Caenorhabditis elegans: one gene and its partners. The protein of the gene in region 4 purifies or fractionates together with the protein of the main gene of each other region. This does not show direct contact. Each region holds a gene or a part of one and is shown on either strand. Other genes may lie near its edges.

Region 1 (6,102 bases), on a different chromosome or scaffold from region 4:
TTATGTGTTTTCATTGTTATAACTTAGTTTTTAACTGAATTTATTTTTATCGAAAAAGTAAACGAAAAACGCCAAATATAACAATTAAAACCCATAAATTTCAATAAATTGTAAAATGTTGAAACTATGAAAAATAAAAATAAAATAAAATTCCACAGCAACAAAAAAATTACCGCAACATTCTAAATATATATGGTCAGATATTCAACATTCCGGTGTGGATATATAAGATAACAACTGAGAATATAATGTGTTCGGTCATAAAATATAATTTATTGAACCTTTCAAAATAAATAATTTAAAGCACATAGGACTATCACAAAAAATACACTGGCGATTCTAAAACGAAACGCTTAAAACCCAAATTTCAAGAAAAAACATTAATTAAAGCGTAGATTGAATAATCTCGTCGAGCTTTCTTGCAAATGCTTCAAATGCAAACACTTTTTGCACCCATTTCGGACCTTCCTCACTCATTCTTCGATACATTTCCTCATCTTTCATCAAATCAATCATTTTCTCAGCAAACGCTTCGGCCGTTTGATCAACCAAAAATCCCGTCTCATTATTCCGAACCGATTCACAGGGACCTCCAGTGTTAACAGCAATTACTGGGGTTCCCAAGTACATTGCTTCAACTGGAACAATTCCGAAATGTTCTCTATCAGGCGTGTAAAGTACCGCACGACTTCTCCGAATGAGATTTACTTTTTGAGTGTCAGATGGTGAGTGGAGAAATACGATCTGAAATTTAAAAGTAATTTATACTTTGCTAAATTCGTATTTATTACCTGATCAGCTGGGAGCTCCAGTTTCTTCATATGTTCAACAAGTTCATCATAGTGTTCGATGTTTTCTGGGTTTTTCAAATCATATCCGCCAGCAATAACAAGATGACATTGCGAAAATTCGTCGGCAGGAAGATTCGATTTCAATTTCTCTGCAAAATAATTTATTACACAGGTTTTTAAAAATATAAAATCTAAAGTTACCGAATGCGTCTAGAGCCAAAACGATATTCTTCTTTCGTTCAAATCGGTTCAGTGAGGTGAAAACATATTTGGTACCACGTGGAATTTCTTCACCAAAATCATCCGAAGCTTCAATCGAATCGAAAAACTCGGTGTTCAACGAAGGATAGAGTACGGTCAGCTCCTGAGATGCCAGTGACTTGAATGTTTCACGAACCACATTTTTTGTAAAATTACTATTGACACAAATGACATCTGCAAGTCCAGTTGTGTACTCTTCAATCCAATCAATAATATTTCTATAGAAAGCTTTCAGATTTCCATCACGTTTCGTTAAAAGTCGATCCGGGAAATGACAATAGAATACGAGTTTTGCCTTTGAGAAATGACGAAGAACAAATTGACTAGCAGATACAGAATCCGAAAGTATGACGTCAGTATCTTTGTGGTAGATTACAATGTAGAGAGCAGCAATGATCATTTTAAGATATGCACAAAGAGCATGACCTTTTCCAAAAATTGAACGGGGTATCCATGGAACCACAGTACAAATATCTGAAAAATGAAATCAGCTTGACGATTGGTATTATTACGGAGACGCGAAATTTTTTAGATTTTTGCGACAAAAATACGGTATGTGACTTCTTTTTTTTGAATGAAAAATTGCATGCAATTTTAATGAGTACTGTAATTTCAAACTTTTGTTGTCGCGGAATTTTCATCAATTTTTATAGTTTTTCGATAAAAATATATTTATTTATGTGATATCTAAATATATCAACAAAACACGAATTTGGAAATTTTTTCAATTTTTTTTTTGCGAATTTTGAAAAATGAATGTTTTTATTGAAATTTTTGAGTTTTAAATATTTAAACAAATAACTTTTAACACAACTTTGTCGTGTCAAGACCAGTTACCGTATTTTTGGCACAAAAAAACGCGAAATTTTGCATTAAGGCAATACGACTCACCCAAATCTAGAGTTTCTTGGAAACAATGCGATCTACTATATTGATTCGTGAAAATCCGAACAGAGTGTCCTCGATCCTGTAATCCAACAGCAGCATCAACAATCAATCGTTCGGCTCCACCGATGCCTAGATCTGGATGGAGAATGGTTACCCGGACCATACTACCAAATTCAATATTTTAATTCTTGTATTCAATTTTTTTAAAATATGAGCATGGTAATATAAACATAATGTTATATAAACTTTTAATTTTTAGAAAATAAAACAATTTATTTATTCATTCCTTAAAATCTCTGTAAAACTCGGGGTGGCACAACCTATTGTAACATGGATGCTATGGCAATTCGAAAAAAAAAGTGAATAGGGAAAACCTTAACAAAAAAAAAAGATGATAACAAAAACTGATCTAAAGACCCTTCAGACAATCATCAAGAAGACTGCTAGCTCCGATGCGGAACAAGTGAGGATTGAGCCATTCGTCGCCGAGAATCTGAAAAATGAATTTTATAATTGTATTTAGAATAAGTAACACTCACATCTTTGACAAGAGCAACATAAGAGAGTGCTTCATCAACAGTTTTGATTCCTCCAGCTGGTTTGAATCCAACCTTCTTTCCAGTGAGCTCATGCCAACGCTTAATGGCAGTACACATAACGTAAGCAACTTCCAATGTGGCGTTCACAGATTCTTTTCCAGTTGAGGTCTTGATGAAATCGGATCCAGCGAGAATACTTGCCCAACTTGCTCTGTAGACGTTGCTCAAGGTTTTCAGCTCTCCAGTTGCCAAAATAGTCTTGAGATGAGCCGAGCCACAAGCCTTCTTGCATGCCAAAACCTCATCGTGAACAGTTTTCCAATCCTCGTCCAATGCTGATGCTCTGCTGATGACAATATCGATTTCAGTAGCTCCATCAGCAACAGAGAGCTCGACTTCAAGAACTTTGGATTTCAAATGATATTGTCCAGATGGAAATCCTCCGGCTACTGAAGTGATATTGGAGTTTAACTTCGAAGAAGCAAGGAATTTCTTGACATCGGCGATTCTTTGAGGATAGACGCAAACGGATCCACAATGAATTGATGGATCAGTTGGGACTGGATTGATTGCTCTTTTTGCCAATGCAACAACTTTGCTCGCAGTATCATCACCATTCAAGGTAGTTAGATCAATATATTGAATTACTTTGCGAATTTCGTCTTTCTGAAACAAGCATTTTAATAGAAACAAAGAAGAATTATGCTTATGAATTATTAATCTTACATTTCTCAAATTCTTCGCTTCTTGCTCGTATTTGCTGATGGCCTGAGCAATCTCCTGATTATCAAAATCGCGTCCAACTTCTCTTTCGAATGTGGCCACGTCGAAACGGCCCTTGTAAGTGTCACGAACGAATGAGAAGAGTGTTGGCACGATCGTCGCCATTTTGTGACTGAAAATTGAATATTTTTAGAACATTTTTCGAATAAAACGAGGAGTTGAAGAGGAATTATATAATTAAAAATAAAAATCGTGGCGCACCGAGCAAGATTGGTGCAAACACTAGAACGGAAAAGTGCACAACTTTTTTATCTTGGTGGGAAACAAGAAACAATTTTTTGTTGAAATAATAAATACTTCACAGCATTGAAACAATCAAAAAATAATAATTGTTTCAAATTAGAGAAAATAAGAATACTTTTTGTTCGCGAAAATGGCAAGAAAAATCGTGAGACCAAACCGATAAAATAATTTCTTCTTTATCGTTTTGTTCCAGTTGATAACAATTTTGATGATTGAGGCCATTCGATAAGTTATATGTGATCCGCTTATCATCTCAAAGGTCGTTTATTGAAAAAATAAGAATTATTTATAATATGCGCATTTATGAAAGTCACAAAATTACAATAAACCACTTTTAAAATCTTATTCTACACAAACCTACTGTAAAAGTTGTAGAGAAAACTGAAAGTTGAAGAGAGCATAGAGAAATAGAGATATACAACTGCTGACGTCTTTTCGGCACTCAGCTGACGCACTTTGCGCGCATCTTCGCAATAGATTTTCCGGATTTACTCTATTTTGGTAATACTGAATTCAAGTATGGCAAACGACGAAGAGTTCTTTATTGTTCGATGTCGAGGACCTTCAAGCTATCGTGAATCCGTCTATAAATACCTAGTAAGTTTTTTTTTGTATTTTTAGTTACGATAAATAAAATTCGCAATATTTTCAGACAGGACAACCATCTGATTGGAATCGAAATTCTGTGTTTTTGAGAAATATGCATGTCGGAAGAGCAAAAAATGTCAAAGAAATCTTCAATTGCATATTACAGACACAACCTCTTCCTGTTGTACAACCTTGTAAGATTTTTTTAAACAAAAATTTGTATTTGATTGATTTTTAAGGTCACCCAGTAAGACAACCACGCGAAAGCTTTTACTCATCTCATGAACATGATCCAATGGATGAAGTTTTACTACAAGAAGTGAAGGAAGAAGCTCATTCACTGGCTTTCAAAGGAATACCAATTGAAACCAAGGGTCCTACACCATCATCAACTATTATGAATCCTGAAGTTACGCTTAGAGACGTTCTGACGTTTCACAAAAATATTAAAAGAAGACCACAAGAGACAAAACCGGCAAAATTTGATTTCTCCGCAATGCCATCAACTTCTCGGTAAGTTTCGTGATTTTTTCAAATTTAAAATTCAAAGTAAAAAACTTTTCAGACTTCCACCTACATCTCCAAAACGCTACCGCCAGTTTGCACCTCCTCCAATCTCTATGAAACAGTCTCCCAAAATTTGTGCCAAAACTGTTTCGTGTCCGAGTACGTCCGAAGTAAAGAGCCCACCAAAAAAGATGATTATACAGAAGATACAGAAACATCAGGAAGCACCGAAACCAGCAAAAGTGCCAAAAATCAAAGGCGAAAAGAAGAAAAAAGATGGTGAGTTATTTTTAAAAAAATCGATAGATGTCTGATACAAAAGTGTCTATTGCACCATGTTATTCTAAAATTTTTCATTTGAAAATAACTATATTTTTACATTGTTTTTTGAAGAAAAATTCTGGAATGATATGGAAAAAATCGTATTCTTAGGTATCTGTTACTATAATAAACTTATTCAGGTCGACAAGATGAACAAGAAGAAATTGATATTGAGTTGAAACTCAGCAAATCTACAGTATCCAGTCAGACATTGGTAATAATGAAAATAACTTTTTAAAAATTAAAAAAAAAAGTAATCTTTTAGAAACGACACAACATCAGTTTCGAACGAAAACCACAAAGAGGAATTTGAATGGAAAAAAATGATTGATTCATTATTATATGTATAATTGTATCCTATTAAGTATTTGATCAAAGCTTTGATAAACATTTTGGCAATAAACTTATTGAGAATAAAATTTTTTACATTGAAGTGAAGTGAAATTGAAAATAAATTAACTATAAGTAAATATAAATTATGCGTCTCTCTTGAGCATTGACATAAAGTCAGCTTTGAACATGTTGGCCATTCCCAAATTTGGAAGTCGTTCCGAATTTTCTTGTTGTCGCAAAGCAAAAAGTTGATCGAATATCTGATCCTTTGGATGGAACTGTACATGTTGTAGAACTTCACTAGCCAAACTACGAGCTTCACTGCCACTAATATCATCACGAGTCGCAATAACAGCAGAAAGCAATTCAGCAGGACAATTTGGAAATTTCCGAGCAAATGAAGTGGCTTCAAGTGACAGAAGAGATTTGTCTTTTAGAGAAATCACATCTCCAGCTGCAGCCACAATTGATGTTAGGAGTGGGAGCTGTAAAAATGTTTAAATTAATTTTTTAGAAATAAGATTTTGATCTCTACCTGATCAGCCATATCAGAACTTGTCGCAAATTCAGCATAAAGATTATCCAAACGAACAACATCAGCTTTCATTCTCTTTCCTGCAAGTGCACGCTCTTCATACGAATTGAGACTCACTCGCCTGAAATATTGGTGTTTTGAGAAAAAAAAATCCAAATTAAATGCTACTTACTTTGTTTCGATTGCCTTCAAATATTCGCTAACAATTCTAAATTGAAGATCCATAAGCAAAGTGGACCTTGTGACTGGTCGCAGATGCTTGTGATCGTGGTAATAATCGGAAATAGTCATACAAACTGTCTCGAGAGCAGCA
Region 2 (8,156 bases), on a different chromosome or scaffold from region 4:
CAAATTCTCGAATCTCAAACATCTGGAATAGATTCAGTGGATTCTGGAGAGTCGAATTCCTCTTCTGATGAGAATTCACAGAAGAATAGGTACAATAATATTGGGGCCATAGAAGCGACCAGGATACGTCTCAATTCTCCAACTGGAAATGATTATATCAATGCCAACTATGTTGATGTAAGTTTTTGAAATAAAAAAGTTCGTTTGCAAAAAGCAAGAAAACTTTGTCTTCGAGTATTTCCAAATTCCTTTGAAACTTCATTTTCAGTCAAAAACTTTCAAGTTAATTATTCCAGTCATGCAATGAACGTAATGCCTACATCGCAACACAAGCTCCACTTCCATCCACATTTTCCGATTTCTGGAGTATGATTTGGCAAGAACGGAGCAATATTATTGTATGCATCACAAATATGGTTGAAGATGGAAAGGTAACTTATATAAATTTTGACTTTTAAACATCTCAAATTTCAGAGAAAATGCGATCAATACTGGCCATCACAACAGGATTCTCCGCAAACTTTTGGAAATTATCAGGTCACTTTGGTATCAGAATCTACAAATGCCCACTTTTCTCATCGAATATTGGATTTGAAAATTGCAAAAGCAGTGCCAGCTGTTGAACGGAAAGTCCATCAGCTTCACTTTATGGGATGGCCGGATCATGGAGTTCCTTCGTCTGTTTTCCCACTTTTAAGCTTTGTTCATTACACTTCCGATATTCATTCCACCGGACCCGTTGTAGTTCATTGCAGGTATGTTATTCTGAAATCCGAGAATTTTAGTTTTAATTTTATATTTTCAGCGCCGGAGTTGGTAGATCTGGTTCATATATCCTTGTTGATAGCATGAGAAGGCATTTGATTAGTTTCCGAAGACTCAATGTTCAAGGACATTTGACACATATGAGAAGACAAAGAGCGAAATTGGTGCAGACTTTGGTAAGAATATCTACTTTCTTTGAAATCTTAGTATCAAAACTTCTGATTTCAGGAGCAATATATTTTCTGCCACGAAGCTATCCGGCAATTGATTCGTCACGGAATCACACGAGTTCATTCAGACCTTTTTATGAGATACCTGCATTACTTATCCGAAGAAAATTTGAACGGAAAAACAAGAATGCAGTTGCAATTTGAGGTTTGTATTAGATATTTTTCTAACTCCTCTCAACTTTAGTATTTATTCAAGGATATCTGTGATTGCAAACATCAACCTCGATGTCTAATTGAATCAGACGTCATAACACTCCCAGGATACCATAGATCTGATGAATTCATGGTCGGATCATGGGGTAATGAATGTGAAGATCTTTGGAGATTAACATGGCAACAAAAAGTTCAAACAATTGTGATTCTAAACCAACGAGACTCGTTTTGGAGAAAACTTCCCAGTTGTATATACGATGGTGAAATTCAACTTCAACACGGAGATAACTTTGTCCTGCTCCAAAAAGATGATCAACAACTGTGTGTTCGAATTGTGAATGTGTCAAGAGCAGATTTGGATACTGATTTTTGGAGGGAAATTGAAAATGTTCAAAAACAGAGGATCACTTATCATGATGCTCCATTGCTTATTCTGGCTCATAAATACCCACCAAGTGTTCCATCACCAACAGATAGTACTTCTACATTATCACTTTCTATTTTGTTTAATGGTGAGTATAGCTTGATATCTATCAATATTTTTGGTTCAAAAAAATTTTGTAACACAAATTTGGAGTTTATAAAAACCCCTTTGGTTCTAGTTTAAAAATGGTAGTGTGCGTAGAAACGTACATACTATGATCTGTAAATACTTTAAACTTTAATTATATTATATTTATAACAAAATTGATGAATATTCAGATGATACAGCACTTGCATTCAGTATTTGTGCAGCCACAACTTTAGCGTGTCAACTGGAGACAACGGGTTGTGTTGACGTGGTACAGGTTCTTTCATCGTATACCGAAATTCAGTGTGGTATTTTTGCCTCGAAGGTGAAAATCGAATTATCTCATTTTCCAATACCAAATTATTTTGTTTTCAGCAAGAAATCGAGATAATCTATGAAAAGATGTCACAGCTAGTCGGAGGAACACGTGTCTAAAAATTTATAAATTCAATTGGAATCGATCCGAAGTATAACTTCCCGAGAAGAAACAATAAAAAATCAATTTCCGGTGTCATTATAAATGAATATTTAATTTATTAATTATATTTTGAAATAATAACAAGCTAGATGGTCAGCGAAGCAAATAAAATGGATACAGCTTTAAAGAGAAAACAAAAGAAAAAATGATTACAATCCCTTCAAAGTCTTGTCGAGAAGATCGAAAGTCAGATCCAAATGTTTTTTGGTGTAGACGAGTGATGGACGGAAACGAAGTGAACGGTCTCCACATCCTCCACAGTGAAGTCCGTTGCTGATGGCCTAAAATTAAATTGAAGTTTAAGAAATTTAATATATAAATGTAAGATGGCTGAATTTGACATTTATCACTATTAATTCTGCTTACCAAGTCAACAAATTTGTCTCTCAAAGATCCAGATGGGAAGTCAACGGCGGCAAAAGTTCCTCTTCCTCTGGCTTGATCCAACTTTCCTCCAGACGATGCTTGAAGTTCTCCAAGTCTCTTTTGGAATTCAGCTCCAACTTCTCTGCTCTGCTCAATCAATCCATCTCTCTTAATAACCTCAACAGCCTTTTCCAAAAGAAGAAGCTTGGTCGGATCTCCCATCCATGTGTTGTAAATACGGTAAGCCTCCTTAACTCGGAGATGTTCTCCGTAGAAGTATCCTCCTGTCAAAAGTTTCTTTGAGAATGTGACCATATCTGGTGGAGAGCTCAAGTTCCAGTGATCATGAGCCCAGATATCTCCAGTTGCTCCACCTCCAGTTTGAACTTCATCAACAATGAATACAATTCCATGTTTAGAAGTAATATCACGGAGGCCTTGGAAGAATGCTGGACTTCCATAATGATCTCCACCTTCTGCTTGAATTGGTTCAACAATAATTGCAGCTACATCATTATCACGACGTTTCCATTCGGAAATCTTCGCTTCAACGTCAGCAAGACACTCCTGATCTTGCTTCTTATTGTATGCAACATTCTGGTCAAGTGGATACTTATAACGGGGGAACTTGGCAATTGGCCAGTCAAATGCTGGAATATCAACCTGAAAATAATTAATTAGAATTGTTTCGAAATAAAACTTTGAAATACCTTATGAATTGGCTTACTTCTGGTAACCGACAACATGCACAAAGATCTTCCATGGAAAGCTCCTTCAAATCCCATAACTGAAAGATTTGGAGTTCCTGGTTTCTGTTGATTCATGCAGCTTTCCAAATGAAGAGCATCTGGTCCAAGACCTCCTCTTCTCTGAGCTTGATACCAGATAAATGCAGTTTTGATTGCATTCTCGTTGGCCGATGTACCGCAAAGCATTGTTTGAACTGCCTTCAATCCTTTTGGAGCAATTGATGTAAGAGCATGAGAAATTCCATCAGCAAAGTCGGTACGTGGGAAGGATCCAAGAGCTGGACGAGAAACAAGAGATGTCTGAAAATTTATTTTCTAATACATTTCTCAACTTTTCAGTAAGTATCTTGTTTTCTTTAGTTTTATCCAAATATTACAGACAGGCAAATCACTTAATATTTAATTTTTTACTGGTTTCTAGGTGTACGGTTAATGTGAAAATATGGTCATTATGTGCCTTCCTCCTGCCTGCCTGACTGCCTACCGCCTAATTTCTGTATTTGTGCCTGAATGCGGATGCGGCGTAAAACATTTTCATGCGTACATGGAAGGCTAAGTTCGAATGCTCCAATTGATTGTAAGAGGTTCAAAAATTGATTTTGAAATCAATTTATAAAAACTCACAATCAAATGTGGCTGCGAAGCGACCTTAACCAAATCTGGATGATTGTATCCCAAAGGAAGAGATGATATTTGAGTATAGACATCGAGAAGTGCATTTCCTAAATTAAATCCTGGTGTGTAAACTGAAAATAAAAACTAACCATCAGCATCTACAACGTAATTTCCGAATGATTTCTCGTAGTCGACATGGAAACGAACGGATGTAGTTTGCTGAAAAAAAATTTTTTTAATTTTTATAAAATTTTGAAATCTCATATTGCATTTGGAATGATTCATATGTTTCATAACTACAGTATTTTTGACAATATGTATAAAATTTAAATTTCCTTGAAATATTATTTTATTTTTTGTATTATCAATGAAATTGAAGATTTGAAATTAAAAAAACTAAAATCAAATAATCAAAACTCCTGAATGTCAGTTGTCAGTTGACCAGAGAAAGTGTAATATTTCTGAGACGAATTTCATTCGTTCTGTGATAAGGGTAAGAATGTGATGTTCATGTAATTACGGAGTTGAGATGTTGGTTTTTGATTTGAAAATTGAACTGAATGGCTCGAAATTCTTCGCAATTGTGTGACCATTAAATAGCTAATAATGTTTTGTAATCTAAAATTATAATTTATCTATCTTATAATTCTTAATAATTTAGAATCAAATTGACAATGTTGAGCTTCTGTTGAGCAAGTTGTCAGAAAGTTCAGCCAAAGTTTTTGTTTGAAAAGTAATTTCAAGCGATTTCGCCACTGAATAATTGTCAAAAACTAAAACCAATACATAATGAGCGTATAAGATTTAGAATAGATATAAAAAATAAGTTATCACAATTTGAAGGTATTTTAAGGTCCATGATGTTTAAAAAAACCATTTAACTTTCGATATCTCAATTCTTACATGAACTTTATCCATTTCCTGTTTCAACGCCTTTGACTTTGGTCCAGGAATGCTCGTTGAAATACTAGGTCCAGATGGCTCGGCATTTGCAATCGCCGAAACTCCACGCACTAAAATAAACGTTTCAATTGAGTCAGAGCATTTTTTGGAAACATTCTCATGGTGTTGAAGTGTTTTAGTATTTTTTTAAAATTTCAGAAAATTTTGTTTTTTTAATCTTCCAAATTGAAACATGTGGTGAATATCAAAATACCTGCCAATTTACCAAAACTTCGATTTTATCGTTCAGTTTTTCTGATCTTTTCCCTATTCGGTTTTACTCGAGAAAAATCAATTGCCTTCGTTAATGTTTGTGATACTGATAAACTGATAAGAGAATCAAAAAAGTGTTGTTTGTTTCTTTTTCAATGTGTTTTAGGTCAAAGATGCAAGTAAAAAGGGTTGAAAATGAATGTATCTAGAAGAACTAAAAAGCTGCAGGTTAGGTTTTTCAAAATCAAAAATTATATGTTAAATTATTTCCTAAATAAATCCCAGTTGAATCCAAAATATATTAATTGGTTTACCCTGTTGGATTAAAGATGACTTTGCCAGTCTGGGAAGCATTCTTCCTTCTGAAAAAAACTATTCAAATTATTCGAAAATCGATTTGAAAAAAACAAAGAGAAAGAAGAGTAAAATTTGAAGTGGCAGGAGAAAACCGAATAATTTTTTCTCCCGTTTTCTCTTTTTAGGCGTCAAACGAGACGCAGAGAAAGGCAGGGGGAGGAGCTTATGTTTTTTAGTGAAGGAAATAAATGCGTTTTCTAGTGAAAATTGTTTGAAGAAGTAAACTGAAAAATTGGAAGCCAATGGAAGACGTTTATATTGAGCCTGTGAATGGTGTAAACTTGCTCCACGTTGTGCAAAGAAAAAGGCTCGCAGAGCACGAAGGGTGTAATCGGAAGGACAACTGACACAAAGAGATGGGGTCACGTGATCGATTTATTGTTTCTTCAGATTCTGGAGATATCGACAAGTGAAAGAAAAGAGAAAAAGAGAATACAATCTAACCGGTAATCTAAACGTACTTATTAAATCAATGCAATACATAAGAATAGGGAAGTAAAAAATCAGGAATCAGAAATATTAGTTTTTGAATCTGTTCTAGAAGCTCCGGGGAATAAAAAAAAAGATTTTCGATTTTAAGTCAAAGCACCGTTACATTTCTTTAGCTTTATACTACAAAAAGGTATAATAAATTGAGACCTACAAGAACGAATGGACTACTTTTAGAGAAAAAGAAATAGAAGTTTACATGAAATAAAACATTCGTTTCTTGAACTTTTAAGACTAATCAAGTGTTTCTTCAACAAGTAAATGTGCGGCTCTCATATATTTATGCACTGCTGACTCAAAATCGGACTGTTCCAATGGAAGAAGTTGATTTACGGAACCTCCAGAAGCTACAGTAGCTTTTGCTCGAGCGAGAAGAGCAAGACGACAAACCTGAAAAATTACATAACAACACGATTATTGGCGTTTCATTTTCCTGTAACATAAAAACTTAAAATTTTCGAACGCGTATTATTTTTTAAGCTAATTATTGTGTATCTAACTTCTAAATATTTTTAGATGATTTTGGAAGAAGTTGAAATAATTTAAATGAGTTTTTTTAAAATTAAATTCAAAATTGTAAGTTTTTTCAAGCTCACTATTAGAACAACTTGTATTAAATATATACAATTCTCTTCACTAATGTTTTTATTTGTATTTTTTTTTCCTTTAAGGTTACTGTAGACAATTATATTACATTTTATCATATTACAAATTACATTTTTCCTTTAAAATCCAATGCATTTTTCACATTAGAAACATGAATTAATTGTGAAACAGCAATTTATTCTCATGAAGCTCGCAAAACTTTGCGATTTCTGCCCCAAATATTCTCGACACGAAATTTTATGTTAACTATGAAAAGGTGTGTACCTTTAAAGAGTACTGTAATTTCAAACTCTCGTTGTTGCAAAAGTTTAATCGAGTTTTCGTAGTTTTCAATAAAAACACATATACTTATTTGCTGTTTCACTATTAATTCATGTTAAAAATGTATTGGATTTTATAGGAAATCCAAGATATATTATTGTCTACAATTTTTCATGTTGAACAGATTTATATTAAATATTTCGTTACCGAATTCCACTAGAATATATGTGACATATATAGCCACAAAGCGAACTAATAATATTACGACCATTTCGGGGATGTAATATATTTGATTAAAATTTTAAAAAGAAAAAAAGCACGAACCTCTTTCAAATCACTTCCACTAAGACCTTCTGCTGCCTGTGCGATTTCTCCGAGATTTACAGTATTATTGATCTTTTCATTCCTGAGAATCACATTAAGAATCTGACTTCTTTGCTTGGCATTTGGTACTGGAACTTGGAATCTTGCAGTCATTCTGCGTAGAATAGCAGCATCAACGTCTCGTGGACGATTTGTAGCTCCCATAACAATGATTTGATCTCCAGAACTAGAAAATCCATCCCATAATGTCATGAATTGTGCCTTCATCATTGCTGTTGATTCGTGATCATGAGATTGTCTGTCTCGGAGGAACGAATCAATTTCATCAATGAAAATAATTGTTGGTTGAAACTTTTGAGCAACAGAGAAAACAGCGGCCGCAAGTTTTTGAGACTCTCCGTACCATTTATCAGTTAGGTTTGACACTTGAAGATTGATAAATCTGAAAGGTAGCAATATTTAAAACAGGTCAATTCTGCATTTATGAATAACTAACCGGCATCCAGCTGCCCTTGCAACTGCTTTCGCTAAAAGAGTTTTTCCACATCCGGGTGGTCCATAAAGAAGAATTCCACGTGGAGGAGACAATAAATGACTTCCACTTTGCGATGCGAATCTCAAGGGTAAAATAATGCGATCCTTTAGTTCAGCAACAAGTTCTTCGCAGCCACCTGTAAAATTTTTCTTTTTTTTTGCGAAACAATTTTCTGTTCTACCGATCTCATCCCAATCTGCTCCAACGTCTTCTCCGCCAACAAACTGCGTGGCGATTCTAATTTCGTGCTCTGAGAGTTCTATTTGACGATCGATACCAAGTTCATGAAACAGCTGTGCCACCTGTATATTAAAAAAACAAAATTAGTGTTGTAAATCTACAAACCTTCTTTTTGCTTTCTTCATTCACACTATAATTTGGATCCAAGTACTTGACTAGATAGCGCACTGATAGAAATGAAACTGCAGCCGCCGCCACTACTCGAATTGCAACACCGATCAACTCATTACGATCCGTCATCTCTAACATAACAAGTATACCTTGCTGTTTTATCATCTGCTAGATATTCTTGATTAACGCGAATAATTTATCTGACATGGTT
Region 3 (8,051 bases), 700 kb from region 4:
TCATACAACTTAAAACGGAACAACACTCGTTGTTATAAATTACTATGTCGCTAAAACAGAAATTTCCACTAATTACAGATGTTGTTGAGCTAGTATTCAGTTCAAATTGTTTTTATGAATTACTAATTATTGTTGTTATAATTCAGTTTAAAATAAAGGGAAAAATAAAAACGTTTGAACAATCAAAAAATAAATCAAGTGATTGCTCGAGAGAAATACACGCGAGAACTCGTTTTTTTTAGAATTTCAGAAGCTGAGAATTTTTGTTTGCAAAATTATTCTATCGTTTCGCGTATACAAGTCGTCTTATTACTATTTTTGTTTTTGGTTTTTTCGTACAGATTTGTACGTCTGTAAAAAATCAATTTTACACAAAAGCCCCCCCTAACGCGGCTCAAATTCTAAATCTAGGTAAAAAAATGTACACATAATTAAAAAAAATCCATATCGAATTCCATAAGACGTTCTTATCAAGAGTAGGGAACTTTTTTATAACTTACAACAATTTCAAGTAAACAAATTTTTAATTTCTTTTCGTAATTTTTGTTGGTCACATGCTACAGGACCACGCTCAGTGGTGCCCTGAAATGATGCAATTTTTTCACGTGCCAATAAAAATCTTGCTCAGAGTCAGAGCAAGAAAAACCAGCGGCAAAGAGATGATATCAATTGAGAACAAAATAGAGAAAAGTAAGAAAAATTAAGTGTTTTTTTTTTCAGTTAATATGTGTTCTGAAGTTTTTCCTTGTTTCACAGTCACTTGTTAGCTGTCTGGATATTCTCACGAGGTGTCGTTTGTTTTGTCTGACCACCTGTTTGGATACGATAGATAATCAAAAAGCATCACTTTATAACTTTTAAAAATCTTTGGTTTTTTTACTTTATTCAGACAAGTTTTGAACTTATCAAGTTAATTAAGTTAATTTTCGGTACTTTTCCGATTTCTGCCCCCCCAAAATGTTTCGATATTTTCATTAATGAAACGTGAACTTTTTTGTAATTTCAGGCTTAGTATTGTTTTTTCTAAGCCTAAAAATTTGAAATAGTATTAAAATAAACATTCACGTGTGAATTTAAATTGAAATATTGAGTAAAACATATTTTGGGGGGCAAAAATCGGAAAAGTACCTAATTTTCTTCCAAATTTTGAAGTGAAAACATTTTTTTTAACATATGTTGAATACTCAATCTAAAAAATAGGTTATTAACAACAGATAAAAAAGTTAACTTCCTTAAACTTTTCATCCTCGGGAGACTAAATATTTTATCACGAATGATCAGTTTTCTTCTTTCTGCTCTGTTTTGAAAAGTTTGCTGGTAATCTGAAAATGATATTTTTCCCAACTTCTGTCTTGAGCTCAACTTGAGAACGAAAAAGACCAACTTTGTTTTTAAGCCTGAAATAGAAATGTGGAAACACCGAGATAAAGTTGCTACCTACACCCGTTATGATCCTCACAGAAATCTTGTGATCTTTAATTTTCCGGTTGCGTAGGTTTTAAAATCAAGTTTTCAAAACATCTCAGGTCTGCGAACAACAGTTCCTATCACTTCATAATGTACTTTGTTGACAATTCGAGATTATCATTTAATATCATTCGAGCTGTTCGTTCCGCAACCTTTTCGTGCAAATCCATCTCACGATTATTTTAATCCGAAAGTATCGTAAACATCATGCATCATCGAGCAGACAAATTGAAAGCCTTGTTTATTCTCACCAGAGGCAAAAAGAATATAAAACTAGATCATAAAACGGGTCAACTTATTTTAAGATACAACCTATGACATAGATGGTGGTCTACTTAGACCTTTACAAATTTAGAAAACGATATGCTTGTTCTCATAAATTGTTCACTCTGACATCATTTTAAACCCACTGACCTCTTCGCCTACTCAATTATTTTTCAAAACGTTCGCATTTTTTCGCAACCTATGTTTTGAAAAGCTTATAAACAAGTTTGATATCCTTTCTACTTTGATTTTAAATAAGCTTTATTGATTCATATATATTCTTATTTTGATAAAATTGAAAATTAAGAGCATCCACAGCAGCTTTTAACTCCGTTCCAGTAAGCCAAGGTGTTGGCGTTGTGGCATCCACGTGGTCCTCCGTTGTGGTTACGGGACATGATCTGAAATTGAATGGATTGCCATTTGCTTGATTGAAATCTAAGGTCTTTTGTCCTAACTTGAACAAAACAACATACTTCTGAAAATGCTACGTAGTTTTCTGATTGTTAGTCCCACTATTATCAATTGTCAAATACACATGTCCACTCAATGAAATGATGTTAAAAAACTGCTCAAGTGTGACCAAAATGATTAAAAGATAAAGAATCGAGAAAAAATTGTAGTGTTTCTGTCGTCAGAATTTTCCAAAAATTGTCAGGAAGTATATGTACATTTTTTGGTGGAATACTACTTGGATGCTCTAGACATTTCTACGTCAGACCTGTTCAGGTCTGCAATAATTTCTCTATTCCAGAGGGTCGTTTCACCTACCTAGTGACTATGGCATATTAATGTTTTCCCCTGCTACCCAAAATAGAAATGTTCGACATTTAATTTTCAACCTCTTATAGTTAGTTGCGTAGTAGCATTCTTGCTCTAAATAAAAAACTCTGACCCCTTTTTCGCGGAAATTTTTGTATCTTTCCTAAAACTTCGCATCACTTTATGAAATATTTTGTTTCCTTCTGATCAATTCAAAAATCAAAATCGGGGGGCAACCTCCTCCAAACTACCAGACACTCGAAAACTTTAAATTGTATTTCATCTACACAATTTGAAAGTGCCCAGAGCAAAACAACAACTGCGTAGGCGACTCACCTGGCAAGCTCCCATTCCAAGTCCATTGCACTGAGACTTGTAGCGGTTGTAGTAGTTCTGAAATTATTTCAAAATGCTTGTATAACATGTAGATTTTAAAATTTTAGATTTCCTCTTTTGTATATGTGATTTTTGACGTATTCAATAAATTTTGTGAAGAGTGCAAACATTCATTCCGTATTAGAGTTCTTTAACCTCTTTTCAAGCCGTCATAATCTTTCTTTGCTACTTTTTATGGCGTGGTAAGCACGTTGTTAGCGGGGTGTTGATAACAATAAGTACTTATTGTCTTTGATGTCGTTAACGTCGCCACCGCTATAGCCATACATAGAAGCTAACAATGACGTTTTTTGCTGGGCTCGTTTGCTATGTGTGCATTTTTGTTTACAGGTTAATTCTGTGATTTTTGACATTATCTCGCAACTTATTTTGAGCTAGTTCCTTTTTTTCTAGTTCCGCCGTTGAAATTGCAGAAAAGTTACTCATCGCAGTATTGTCTACATGACGTTTAAATTAATTTGCCTCAATTAGCGGCAGATAGTAGAAATTTGAGTTCTCAGGTGGGCGATCCACGTAATTCGTACACTAAATTTAGTCGCGAAGTTTTTAATTTTGAGAATGATATGACGAGATTCCCAAAGGATAGAATTGCTTCCATGACTGAAATAAGCCGCAGTCTATCCGGAATTTTGCGATTTAAGGATGAAAAGTTGCACCCACTCAACACCCGTTTTCCCAAAATAAGAATTTTGATGATTTTTTTTGCATGTATCCTGTTGCTAAATCTGCACGTACCTCGACGCAAGTGGTAGCGCAGTTAAGATCATCAGCACATCTCTTCCAGGCAGCTTCAGTAGTCTCTCCAGCCTTCTTTGTTGGTTGTCCGCAGTCTTCATAGTATCCAATCTTGATCTAAAAGAAACATATTATATTTTTATTCTTTACTTTTTATAGTTGGGTCTTGGTACATTTAAAATTAAAAAAAACTGGAATACATAGAGTAGAGTTCAATTTTTGTATATCCTTGTTGTTGTTCCATACAATTTCCTTGTCTACATGGTTTTGAAAGTTTTCATTTCTAGTATGCCTTTTATCTTCTTAGCTTCAATGCAAAAGTTCCCCTATACAAAAATCAATCCCGTTTTAACATTTTCAAAGCATTTCCTGTCCATTTCCTCGGGAAAGTACGCATTTGCTCTTTTGTGGTTTTTTTGTTTTAGCAATTTAAAACATCGTTTCTTGTTATACATTTTTATCGAAAAAACTCAAAATTAAAATTCAACGCGATTTATTTTACCATACTGATTAGGAACTTCCGATTCGCTTGAGAAGAGATATGTGAAAAATATGGGGGCTGTGGTCCGATGAACCGTTTCAATTATGCTAGATTTTCATTAAAGAAATATCTGTTCAATGAGGCATAACAAACATTTCGTGCCGATTTCAAAAACCATCAATTAATGAAGACATGAAAGATGAGCTTTTGAATTTCACGTATTTTTCTGAAGTGTTATTGTTTCCTTATTTAAATGGCAAAACAATAAACAGGCAACCGAACATCTTGTATGGTTTCATGACAAAATTGAAAACGTGTTCTGATATTCTGCTATTTCCATTTCTAGATTCACATATTCCCTAGTTGATCTTGATTTACCTGATAGTATCCGCAGGAGAGGGATCCAACGTCCATGTGGCAACCGATTGGTTTGCATCCTGACTCTCTCATGCAGATGCAGTGGAGGCAGTCGGCGGAAACGTACGCAATAGCTGAAATACCGTAATCACGAAATAGTTCTATTCGCTGTCTCTGCCTTTTTTTAAAGTTTCAATTTATTTTTATTTTTCTCCTATTTCTTCGATCTATAATTGTTGTTACTTTTCCCTATTGTTTTTTACAAATGTGAAACACATATTTAGCTTTCAAAACGTGCTATTAGCTGTAAACCTATAATCAGATGTCCCGTGAGCCGAGAAATGATTTGAGCTAATATTAAGCGAACTTTCATCCGATAAAATTTTATAAACAAGCAAACAACAACAAGAGTTAACACTAAATATGGGAGTAGTTGAGTCTAGATTAATCTTTGGTTAGCCGATATTAAACTTTAAATGACGTTTCATTCTTTGTTTTTAAAAGAAGATATTACCAGCCTTATGGAAATTAAAAATTTCTCTAGTTTTGTTTTAATTGATTGAACGCATCAGTGTTCAGACTTATCGAAACATTTTCAACTGATAACTAAAAAAAAAAGAAAATGTAAACATTGAAATTAAATTAGCACCTTAAAAATCCAATTTCATGTTGGTTTTGATCTAATTCTTTTGAGCTGGTGATTTACTAGATCTTATACAATTTTGCTGTTCACTGAAACCAGTTTTAATTTTGTTATCACACTCACCGACAGAAAGGAGCAGAAGCGATTTGACAAACATATCGGCTGATGGACAAGCTGTCTGAGTTTGCTAACTTTTGGACTCTCTTTTATATCAACTTACACGTGCCTTTGATCACAATTCCTTATCTCAAAACCCGGTAATTCCTACGTAAGCACCTGTACCGAAGACTGTCAGAGGCGGAGTTACAGCTCTGTGATCGCAGAGCGAAAGAGCAATTGATGCCACTTTCAATGCCAATCAAAGTGTGGCATGGATAGTTCTAGAAAAACGTATATCCTTCCCCAGAAAACCAACACAATGCAACAAATCAGAAATCTTGTGATTATTGAAATGGACTGCAATTTTCCGTGAAAGGATACACCTCTGTTGCTAATCTTATAATCCAATCTTCGGGTCAAAAAGAACGCGGCTTCCTAATATACTTTTGATTGGTGGGGGTGGACGAGGAAATACTCTGAAATAGGATCAAGATTATATTTATTTGTGTCTTTGACCATTTTTTTTGTTATTCAAATTTCAATGAGGTAATATTTAGATTTTCGTATTTATGTGATGATGTTTTTTTCTTATAAAGTTCCATTAAAAATAATATTGAGCTAATTTTTGAACCGACGTTTTTCAGTTCCCCAGATACATCTCGAACCAGCATTCTTTTCACAAAACAAGCGTGTTTTTCTCTTTTAACACAAAGATTATTTGTAAAAACCCTAACTACGATCAGGTAGTAGGTAAATTTTTCTAATGAGTAAGCTTTAGTTTCCGGCTCAACAACTTTGTGCAAGGGTTAAGTCATGTGAAACTGAAAAAAAACTCATTCAAGCTTGATTATTTTCACTAAAATGTTAAAAGGACAATTCAAGTACAAGTAGAATAATCTAAACAAAAACCAAAACAGTAAACAATCAAACATCGAACAATTCAATTTTTATTCATTTTATAATAATGTTTTTGAATACGGACGGTTTTTGTAAATTCAATTGACCGTGAATTCCGTAACGACGGGAGCTTTAGGAAATTTCATTCAATACAAGTATATCACTCACTAATGAGTGAATAGACAGTAAATCCAAGCAGTTACGACGTTCACGCGGATTTACCTTAGTTTACACACTGAATCCTCGTTCCGCATTGCTCTCTTCAGTAGTGCAGTCTGTTTTGTCATAATTCATTCATTATGTGTGACGACGTCATTTGAGAGCCTGAATTGGAATAATCGTGACTAAAAACGCAACAAAACCACTTGGTTGTCGCATCAATTATCCAGTCTAGAACTTTGCCACAAGTTTTTACTTTTCGATCTTCATTGTTACATTTTAGACGCTTTTATGGAGAATTGTTTTCTTTTGTCATGCTCTTCCAGCAAACCAAACTAGGTGCGTATTTCCTTGTCTACAGTTTGTGCTATCAAATAATGAAACACAAACCGTTTTTGTTATAATATGATCTGTAAATAGTGCGATCGGCATGGTTTCGCCTCGTTAAGACTTTTCGGAAACGAATGAACATTATCAGTTGATATCAAAAATTGCTCCGATTCCATCGCAATTTGGTTTTGCTTCATAGACATGGGTGTGCTGGGAGATTGGAAGAAGCGGCAGAGAAAATTGAAATTCAAGACCAATTTCCTTCGTGCAAACCATTCTGATAAGTATGTACCAAGTAGTTTCTAAAAACTCTTCTTTAGTTCCGTAAAAATCATAAAATGTGTGGTAACATGTGACTTTATACATAGACTGTTACATTGGTTATAGTAGGAATGTTCTGAATTGGTCGGACGCTTCACACACTTAAATGAAAATTATCTTGTTTGATTATTCAACACAATAACAAAAAGATAACAAGGGAATGATAATATTTTTATCTAATAAAAACAAACTTACTCCCAGAAGCGCATGTTTTTATATAAAGACAGGAAGGAATCGAAAGCTGAAGACTCAGTTGAGAACAAACTCTATTTAGTATTCTAAGTGAAGCTTGGACTAGTAGAAAATGTTTCACATACCGGACCAGGAAATTGTACTTGAACAGCAGATGTTCGAAATTGTGTTCTTAGAACTCGCATTTTAAGTTCGGAAATTGTGAACAGAGATTCCACGTTCTCTGTTAATTATTATTTTCATCGAAAAAAGGCCTTTCTTATAATCAACGAAAGTCTCGAATCTTTGGTGTCATTCGAAAACAAACTATTACCGCCGGCGAGCTTTTGAGCTGCTCTAACTTCCACTGAGCTAGTTCCTCCTTCTTAGCCACGTGTTTGAATTTGAACGTTTCCATCTTTTCAACGTCCCACTTTTCAATTTGTTGTAGTTGTTTTTGAGATCCGTTACAAACAAAGAATTCAAGAACTAAGAATTTTGACCCATGTTGTGATGTGATATGGCCAAATAAAGCGTAATGATGAGTGTGAAAAAACACATGTCGTTTGCTTTTTACGCTTCAATTTAACTTATTGTGCTGATAAAACCCATTGAAACAAAGCACTGGGTAAGAATATAGTTACGACGTAAATCGGATTCGTCCGCGCTGAATGAATTGTCAGAATCAATCACCGTTAATGTCAATACAACGTCATACTTATGTTATAGTGCTTGATTGCTAAATCTACTTTGACAATGAATAAGTACGTAATGTGATGAATAAGTAACTGAAACGTAACTGAAAACATTTTATAGTCAACCTTGCAGAACGTATATACGAATATCTATTTTGAACCCGCGACTATTTTAGCTATTCTTGCATCCGTCTGATTGTTTTTTTGCGATAGTGATAACCAAATTGTCAGTACATGAAGTTCTAAGAACTGAGTCATCAATTGACAACAAGCA
Region 4 (7,495 bases):
GTTTTTTTTGCCTTCTTGCCAACTGCCACATACGCACACAAAACACATTGGATAGAGAAGAAAGTTGTTTGCCAGTCGGATCTACGACTCCGCATCTTGCCTAGTGTCTCGGGAATTGAGAAAGAGCATGAGGTCCGCGAGGGGCCTTCTGCCATCATCCGCGGCGCCCGTCCTTCCTTCTCCCCTTTCTTCCCATTCATAAATACTCGGCAAATGAACTTACTGAATTGAGAAAGAAAGGCGGAAGACAATTGAAATGCGAGAGACAAAGAGATGCAGAGTTCGAGCAGGAAACGGTTTGGTTTCTGCGCTGTGCATGGTGGTTGTGTGGGCTGTGCGTGCTGGAAAGATATATCAAATCGTGGATATACTTGAATTGACGTGGCAAATAAATGAAAAACTGTTTGTCAACAGTTGATAAGTGCTGAATGGATTTGATATCAGAACCTATAAAATCTCTCAGAACCTTTCAAATGTCTTCTAAGACTTTGTGAAAGATAATGATGAATAACTTGGTAGAAAATAAAGAAGTGGTTTTTGAACATCAGTTCTGATTATTTTGATTACAAGAAATGAACAATGAAAATGAAAACTTATAACGACAGATTTCCAGAAGAAAAAAAATATGTTGAGCCTGGATATGAACAAAAACAGATTACTTTAGCTTCAGGTTGATAAGTATCAAGGTAAAAATAACACTGCCAAATATTCGTTCAGATTTGGATAAAATTCAGGTATTCGTCGTCTTGGCAACCATTGTCCCAAATACGGCTTATCGAATATATTTGAATGTGCCACTAATCACAACAAGGATTATCTATTTTCACGCCTCCTCCCCACGGTTTCATCCTTTCATTTTGGAAAATAATACTATCTGAATAAATATTTTCAATTGCCTCGCTACAAAATTAAAAAAAAAATTGAAACACACACACAGTTATGCGCTGTTGAAAAAAAACATTATAACCTCTATTAATAAACGCACCATTATTAATCTTCGGGGGATTTTATTTCTTTTGTGTCCTATGTAAAAATGTATAATTCACAACAAACTTAACCTTTTTCTTTTATTTCTGTACTGAATTATTATTACTACAATTTCAAGATGTGCCGAGGTGAAAAAATACTATTAAAGTGGGGTGTGCAAAACTGAAAAAGGTAATTCTCGATTGGTTCGATTGCCAAAAATTATTAAGTTTCAAACATTTTGCTTGAAACAAGCACAAGTTGTATGTTATGACAAATCTGTAAATTTACCCATTATTAACTCGAGAAGCAAAAGTAATCAAAGTTAAAAAAAAAGATTTTTCAATACTTATACACTTTCTCATTTCAATTGTTCGAAAAGATATTTACTTTCAGTTACTCGTTAGATTTTCCACTTAAAAAAAAACACACAAAAAATTGAAAGGTGTGCAAAAGTCCAATTTTTAAAATTTTGATTTCTTCTCAAATCTCGTGGCATTGAATAATTTTTTTTCTGTACTTCCATAAAATAATTAGTTTGTGAGTGGCTTGCGATTCAGCATTTATCGCCAAAAACAACTTGTTAGACTTCACTTGTTATGCATATCTACATGTAGCCCTGCTTTTTATCCAGCCGACACATCCATATGGAAAAATTGAAGATTTTTTCTGCGTTCACCCACGTTACTTTTAGACTGCAACAATGTGTCCGAGAGATTTTTGAAAAGTCTCATAATGGAATGCACCATTTTCAGACTATTTTTTGTCTCTTTGAGCAACAATTTCGAACGGTTCTTCTTCCTCTAAATAACAGGTTCATCATTTCTCGTGTTATTTCCTGGTTCTGGGTCGTTTTCTTGTTTCTTCAGTCTAGTTCTTTGACCAACGACAATTGACACATGGGTAATTTATTTCTCTTCACTTTTTTCCTCTACTCGAATTGACACAAGACTCGGTGGCTCACGCAAACGCTGGATATTACACAACAATTGTTTTCCGGCCATCGGAGAGTATGGCAAAAAAATGTTGTGAAAAGAAAGAAAGTGGTAGCCGACGAGGATGAGGTTCAAAAGACTCTCATACCGCCATCTGCTATTTCATTGCCGTCGAATGCCATCTGTTCCTGCTCTCATCGGCATCCATCTTTCCCGAAGTTGCCGAACATGCTTTACACAGTTAACCTCTATCGGCCAAAGGCTCACGCAACGTTGTGATGAGCCAGTAGAAAACAGTCAGAAAAAGTGATAAAAAGGGATACGGGATAAGAAGTTACATGAGAAGACAGGAAGATAGAAGGAAGGTTGATCTCCGCGTAATAAAACTTTGAGTTTTTCCGAGTTATTTGAAAATTGAATGATTTGGGGATTTTCTAAAACAAGAGAATTTGGAAAATACATTTTTACAAATTATATTGAAAAGTAGAAAAATAGAACATTTAACTAAAAATTTATAATTTAGACAATATTCAAGTTGAGAAAAATGTTTTTAAAAAATGGTGGATTTTATCAAGATAATTTAATTCTCAATCTAGACATAAACATCAACCTACTTGTGATATTTTTAGCTATGAACATAATCACCAAGCTTTCCAGAGTCTTTTTTTCTATTTTACAAAGTTTATTTCACTGCATTGATTGCGCGAAATCAAAATTGGAATAAACTCCAAAAATACCAGATTAACAAACAAATTATGTATCGTGTCACCAAATAAAAAACTATTGTTGCTGGAATTAAACAAAAATATAATTATTGAAATAGGCTCATACCTATTACAGTTGGTTCGAACGAACACAATGTTTTTTTGGGAGTGTAAACAAACAAAAAGAGCCATTAACGTTAATTTGAATACTGAAAGTATATTTTTGTCAGCAATCGAATAGACATTGTGCAATGGGAATTTGACTGCGTTTTCATTTGCAGGTGTTTCAAAATGTTATATATCAGACAAAAATAAAGTTGCCTTTTTACCTTTTGAAAAGATTTTTGATCAACACATTTTTTAATGCAAAACTTTCATATTATTTTTCTGCGAAAAAAAAACAAATGTCGAAAAAAAATTTGTTGAAAAATAAGCCACACACAAAGATGGAACACATTGAAAACACTCAGCACACATGCGAAGCCTTTAATTAAAATATTTCTTGCACATTCTCAATTATTCGTCATTTTCATTTTTATCTCAAGTCTTTCAATTTTGCAAATTTTAGACTCCAAGTACTAACACCTGATTACTTTAAAAAAATATATATTTTTCTAGTGGTGAATATGGAAATGTGTTTTAAAGTTTGAAATTTTTGAAAACGTGTAGGACGTCAGTTTGAATAGCACATTTTCATAATATTTTTGAATATTTTGATTTTAACTTTTTGAAAAAAAAAACATTTAAATAAAAGATATAGGACAAAAAACTTTTCTGTAAATTAATTAATTTATCTTGGAAAAAATTAGATCTTCAACAAACTTTTACATTTTCCAAATTTGTTTGTTTGTTGATTTTTTTCTAAAGTTAATCAATTAATGCGCAAAAACACTATTTTAAATAAAAGAGGATGGAACTTATTAATTGAATTATTTGCTCCTTACTTGATTGCTGAGATTTCAATCAAGTACATAGTTAGAGTACTGCAAAAATTGTGCCCGAAAGTATATGTTAACTTCTTTATAATTTTTTCATAAAACGCCATATTATGTATTGAGGGTAGTTGTCAACGTGAAACAAAACCACTGCAAAGTACCTACCAAAAATTGTGACAATACTCTCGAGCATCGATGTAACATCTTCTATTGAAAAATTTAATTCGGAAAATTGAGAAAAAACAACCAATTATTAAAAATTAAGTAAAAAAACTTTACATATTGAACAAAAGTTATTTGAAATCTGAATTAATATTAACCGAAAATATTCATTCACATCATGGCAATGCCAAAAGTCCCGAAAAAATTCAGAATCTTCACAATTTTCTAAACACAATCTAGTGAATAGAGTGGTTAACTGCATAAGTTTGAATGGAGTGGTATGTAATACAAACAAGAAATAAAGATACAAAAAATGAGGAGAAGTAAATGGAAACAAAGTTGACAGGTAAGAAAAAATAATTCAATTTAAGTGATCAAGGGAATAATTATTATTCGACAAAAATAATGTTATTCTGTCCGCCCAAACCGTTTGGCACCTGTTGATAGTCGCTCGACGTCGCCCATTCGCCATTGATCATGAATCGGAACTCGTGTCTAAAATTATTACTTGAAATTTGTGTTTTGAATTTGAATGTTGTTACCTTCCACGCGTCAAATTGACCGTGACTCCTTTCTTGCCGCTAACCAGTTTCTCGCATTTCAATGTGCATTTCCAGTTGATAAAACTTCCCTGAAAAATCAAATGAAGACCTATTTGGCAAAAAAAAACTTACCGTCAAGTAAACTTCCTGCTCTGTGTTCGAAATGGTCAACGTTACATTTCTTCCTTCGTTAGCTCCCCCAAAAATGAATGGATTGGCTCCGGCGAATGGCAGGGCTGAGACAAGTGGGATGGATGGGATGGCTCCGGTGAAACATGGCTGGTTACTTCCGCTGCAAATACTTGGAATAGTGATATCAAGAGAACCACTGGTATAACTTACTTGGCAAGGTTCCAAGTTCCTTGGTTGCTTTGGCTAATGGTGAATCCGTCGGTGGGAATGGTCATGGTGCTGGAGTGACTCCTAAATTATTGGAATTTCGATTTCGAATGAAATATTGCTTTGGATGAGGAACACTATATTCACACCGTCAAATACACTGTACACTCGTTTCAATTTTTAAAAATTAAATAAGAAAAACAAAACATAGTTAGTATTGTTTTCAATTCAACTACTCCGCAAATTTCAGAAAAAAAAATATAAAGTGCATTGCTTTCCAGACGTTAAGTTACAAGTAGTTCAATAAAATCTGTATTCCTTACCTCACTTCCTGTATTAACCTAAAAATGAAATATGAAAAAATTCTTTAAAGTTTCCTATCTGTTATTTTGAAAATTTATTCAGTTTTTGATTTTTATAAAGTCCTTTTTTGGGTAATTCTAGAAAGTGATCAAAGATGTTCATGCAATTTTTCGTTTTTATTTTTATGTAATGAAATGATTTACAAGCGCCGTTTTTGATATTTTAAATTCATGAAACATTCAATCTCGTATTGCTCTGACCCCAACTCCAAAGAAAACTCACTGATCATTAAGGCTTTGAATCTTCGAGTTTGCCGTGTCAAGCAAATTTCTCTGTAGGGCAACAGAGGATTCCAACTCGCCGACCTTCCACTTTGCATCGTTCCACCATTGGGAGAGCTCACCGAGACGCCACTCCAGCTTGCTCTTCTCTTCGTTGATCTCCCAGACACGCTTCTCGCTGTCCTTCAGCATTTTTTCAGCGTGTGAGGTGTCTGCTCTGGCCCTGAAAGAAAACCCTAAATTAAAAATTGCTTGTCATTTCAATGCCTTACTTCAATTGTTCAGTGATTCCCTTCAAATATCCGTTCTCCTGTTCCAACTTGCCGACACGTTCGTTCGCGTACCAGTTAGCCTCCTGGAGCTGTTGCTTCTCAGCCTCAGCTTGACGAATTGAATTGTTGGCCAAGCCGAGTTTAACCTCTAGTGCTCTGACGGCGGTACTCTTCACTTCTTCATGAGCGTCGGAGTTGAGTTGATTCTCTAAGAATGTTACCCTAAAATAATTTTTTTTCCGATTAACTCTTGAACTTTTAAATGTTTTACTTGTCTTTTGCGTTCTTCAAATAATCTTGATTCTCGGAGAATTTGGTCTCAAGATCCTTATTTTTCGATTCAACAGTGGCCAACTTGTTTCGAAGCTCTTCAATGACATTGTGCAAGTTGCTGAAAGAACTAATTAAATAATAACGTGAAATGTGCATTTTGATTATCATACTTGATTTCTTCATCGTGATCCTGGGATCGTTTCTCGTCGATTTCCGAATCAATTCGAACGAATTTCTCTTCAGAATCAGCCGATTGGGCGGATTCCAACTTTTTCTCAAGATTTTTGACTTTAAGTTGAGCGGCTGACAAGTCGGATTTGTATTCTTTCACTCTGTTAAGTTGAAAAATTAAAAAAAAATTTAAACATATTGAGAAATTAGGGTTATTACCTAATTTTCAGCTCATCATTTCGGTTTCTCAGCTTTTCCAGCTGTCGGTCGTTCTTTTCCTTTTCGGAGTCTCTTCCCTCGCTCTCCTCGCTGATATTCACATTTTCAGGCTGAGCATCAAACTGGCTTCTTGGCTGATTTTTCTTTGAAGTACTACGAGCACGGGTCTTTCCAGCTGCATACACCTTTTGTGACCTTCCACCAAGTCCCGCGGCAGCTAAAATAATGCAAATTCTCTGTTTGTTTCAATTTCGCCGGTCAAATTTGTCACAAATGTACCACTCGGAGACCGACAACATGTTTACAAGTTTGAATTGGACAAAAAATGTCAGATCGCTTTTGAAGCATTTGGAGATTTCACAGTTTACACAGCTGCGATCGTGTTTTGATTGAGCAGGAAAAAAATTAGCTGGTACTTCAAAACTGTTACAAAGCTATGCACTTAAAAAAACACGAAATACTACTTTGGCTTGATGATCAGATTTTTATGTTACTCAGTCAAATATGTCAAAATTTCAAGAATATTAAAACCAATATTTTGAATTGGTAGAACATTAAACAAATTTTATACAGTAATCCATTTTAAATTGCCAGCTCTGGAAAATAGTGGCAACTATTGGGGCAATAAAGAAAATTTTCACTGTTAACGGAAAATTCGTTTTTTTTTTTGAAATGGGCTTCATGTTTGGATTTGCCCCATGCATGATACTCATTCCTAAACGATTTTGCGAATATAGGTCTTTTTAACCCCAAATTCCACGTAAACCAAATAGAACCAATTACCGAAAAGCTTCTGCACAGCTGAAATGTTCTTTTCAAAGGCGTCATTGGCCTTCGAATAGTCGGCAAAATGGGTTCCGTGGCGTGATCCGTGTGCTGCAAGAAAGAAAAACTTAGACACCGTCGCAAATTTATGGTTCTTGTTTTCCAATTAATGTTTTCTCTCGTATCGACAAGTCGTCTCTCACCTAAATGGATAAAAATCGGCACTGAATCCCATCCGTTTGGAGGTGGGTACACCTTGCCGGTGTTGTTGTCGAACCTTGAAATAGAAAAATGTTAAACGTTTTGTTGACTGACTGACTGGAACTTTGGATTTGGATAATGCTAATCGACAATGGGAAAGCAGCAAATGTTGTTCTAATATAATCATATTTCTGCGCGGATTGTCTATTTGTAAACATGTACATGCATGTTCTAAACCGGTTTCGGATTATCAACTGATTTTTGGGAAAATTGTTTACGTTGACCTATCACTTTGAATTAGACAATTCACGTTTCACCTGGTGTTAGGGTTAGGGTTAAAAAGAATTGTAAACTTTGATAAGACATATATACACAGTCATTTTTCATTTTGATGGAACGATGGCGCGCGCAATTCTTTTGTGTTGAT

The links.
Region 1: the proteins of F46H5.3 (region 4) and F09E5.3 fractionate together in Caenorhabditis elegans (co-fractionation; one large-scale study listed by BioGRID). This does not show direct contact.
Region 2: the proteins of F46H5.3 (region 4) and gta-1 fractionate together in Caenorhabditis elegans (co-fractionation; one large-scale study listed by BioGRID). This does not show direct contact.
Region 3: the proteins of F46H5.3 (region 4) and ilys-5 fractionate together in Caenorhabditis elegans (co-fractionation; one large-scale study listed by BioGRID). This does not show direct contact.

The regions. Positions count from the first base shown.
Region 1 is NC_003280.10:5,371,269-5,377,370, reverse strand, and holds F09E5.3 (Putative deoxyribose-phosphate aldolase), read right to left. Parts: upstream 3,375-6,102; 5' UTR 3,368-3,374; coding exon 3,206-3,367; intron 3,146-3,205; coding exon 2,480-3,145; intron 2,434-2,479; coding exon 2,350-2,433; 3' UTR 2,206-2,349; downstream 1-2,205. Other genes in the region: algn-2 (Alpha-1,3/1,6-mannosyltransferase ALG2), read right to left, coding at 385-744, 792-940, 993-1,526, 1,944-2,103; agt-2 (AlkylGuanine DNA alkylTransferase), read left to right, coding at 4,025-4,102, 4,158-4,287, 4,333-4,606, 4,659-4,879, 5,062-5,135, 5,187-5,234; sec-6 (Exocyst complex component 3), read right to left, coding at 5,398-5,739, 5,790-5,910, 5,962-6,102. UniProt on the Caenorhabditis elegans protein: Catalyzes a reversible aldol reaction between acetaldehyde and D-glyceraldehyde 3-phosphate to generate 2-deoxy-D-ribose 5-phosphate.
Region 2 is NC_003282.8:10,177,888-10,186,043, reverse strand, and holds gta-1 (putative 4-aminobutyrate aminotransferase, mitochondrial), read right to left. Parts: upstream 5,385-8,156; 5' UTR 5,377-5,384; coding exon 5,337-5,376; intron 4,881-5,336; coding exon 4,771-4,880; intron 4,087-4,770; coding exon 4,017-4,086; intron 3,975-4,016; coding exon 3,877-3,974; intron 3,553-3,876; coding exon 3,214-3,552; intron 3,167-3,213; coding exon 2,504-3,166; intron 2,419-2,503; coding exon 2,287-2,418; 3' UTR 2,105-2,286; downstream 1-2,104. Other genes in the region: ptrg-1 (Tyrosine-protein phosphatase 4), read left to right, coding at 1-177, 297-431, 475-755, 806-941, 994-1,140, 1,192-1,660, 1,851-1,984, 2,035-2,094; mspn-1 (Mitochondrial sorting homolog), read right to left, coding at 6,103-6,258, 7,060-7,501, 7,556-7,730, 7,776-7,896, 7,940-8,074.
Region 3 is NC_003284.9:6,531,516-6,539,566, forward strand, and holds ilys-5 (lysozyme), read right to left. Parts: upstream 5,326-8,051; 5' UTR 5,263-5,325; coding exon 5,229-5,262; intron 4,597-5,228; coding exon 4,484-4,596; exon of another isoform or gene 3,742-4,483; coding exon 3,625-3,741; intron 2,887-3,624; coding exon 2,830-2,886; intron 2,133-2,829; coding exon 2,034-2,132; 3' UTR 1,975-2,033; downstream 1-1,974.
Region 4 is NC_003284.9:7,234,919-7,242,413, forward strand, and holds the start of F46H5.3 (putative arginine kinase F46H5.3), read right to left. Parts: upstream 3,745-7,495; coding exon 3,706-3,744; intron 2,128-3,705; exon of another isoform or gene 1,984-2,127; intron 1-1,983. Other genes in the region: F46H5.7 (AMPK1_CBM domain-containing protein), read right to left, coding at 4,092-4,197, 4,245-4,333, 4,377-4,536, 4,587-4,667, 4,907-4,924, 5,169-5,390, 5,440-5,661, 5,711-5,830 and 4 more.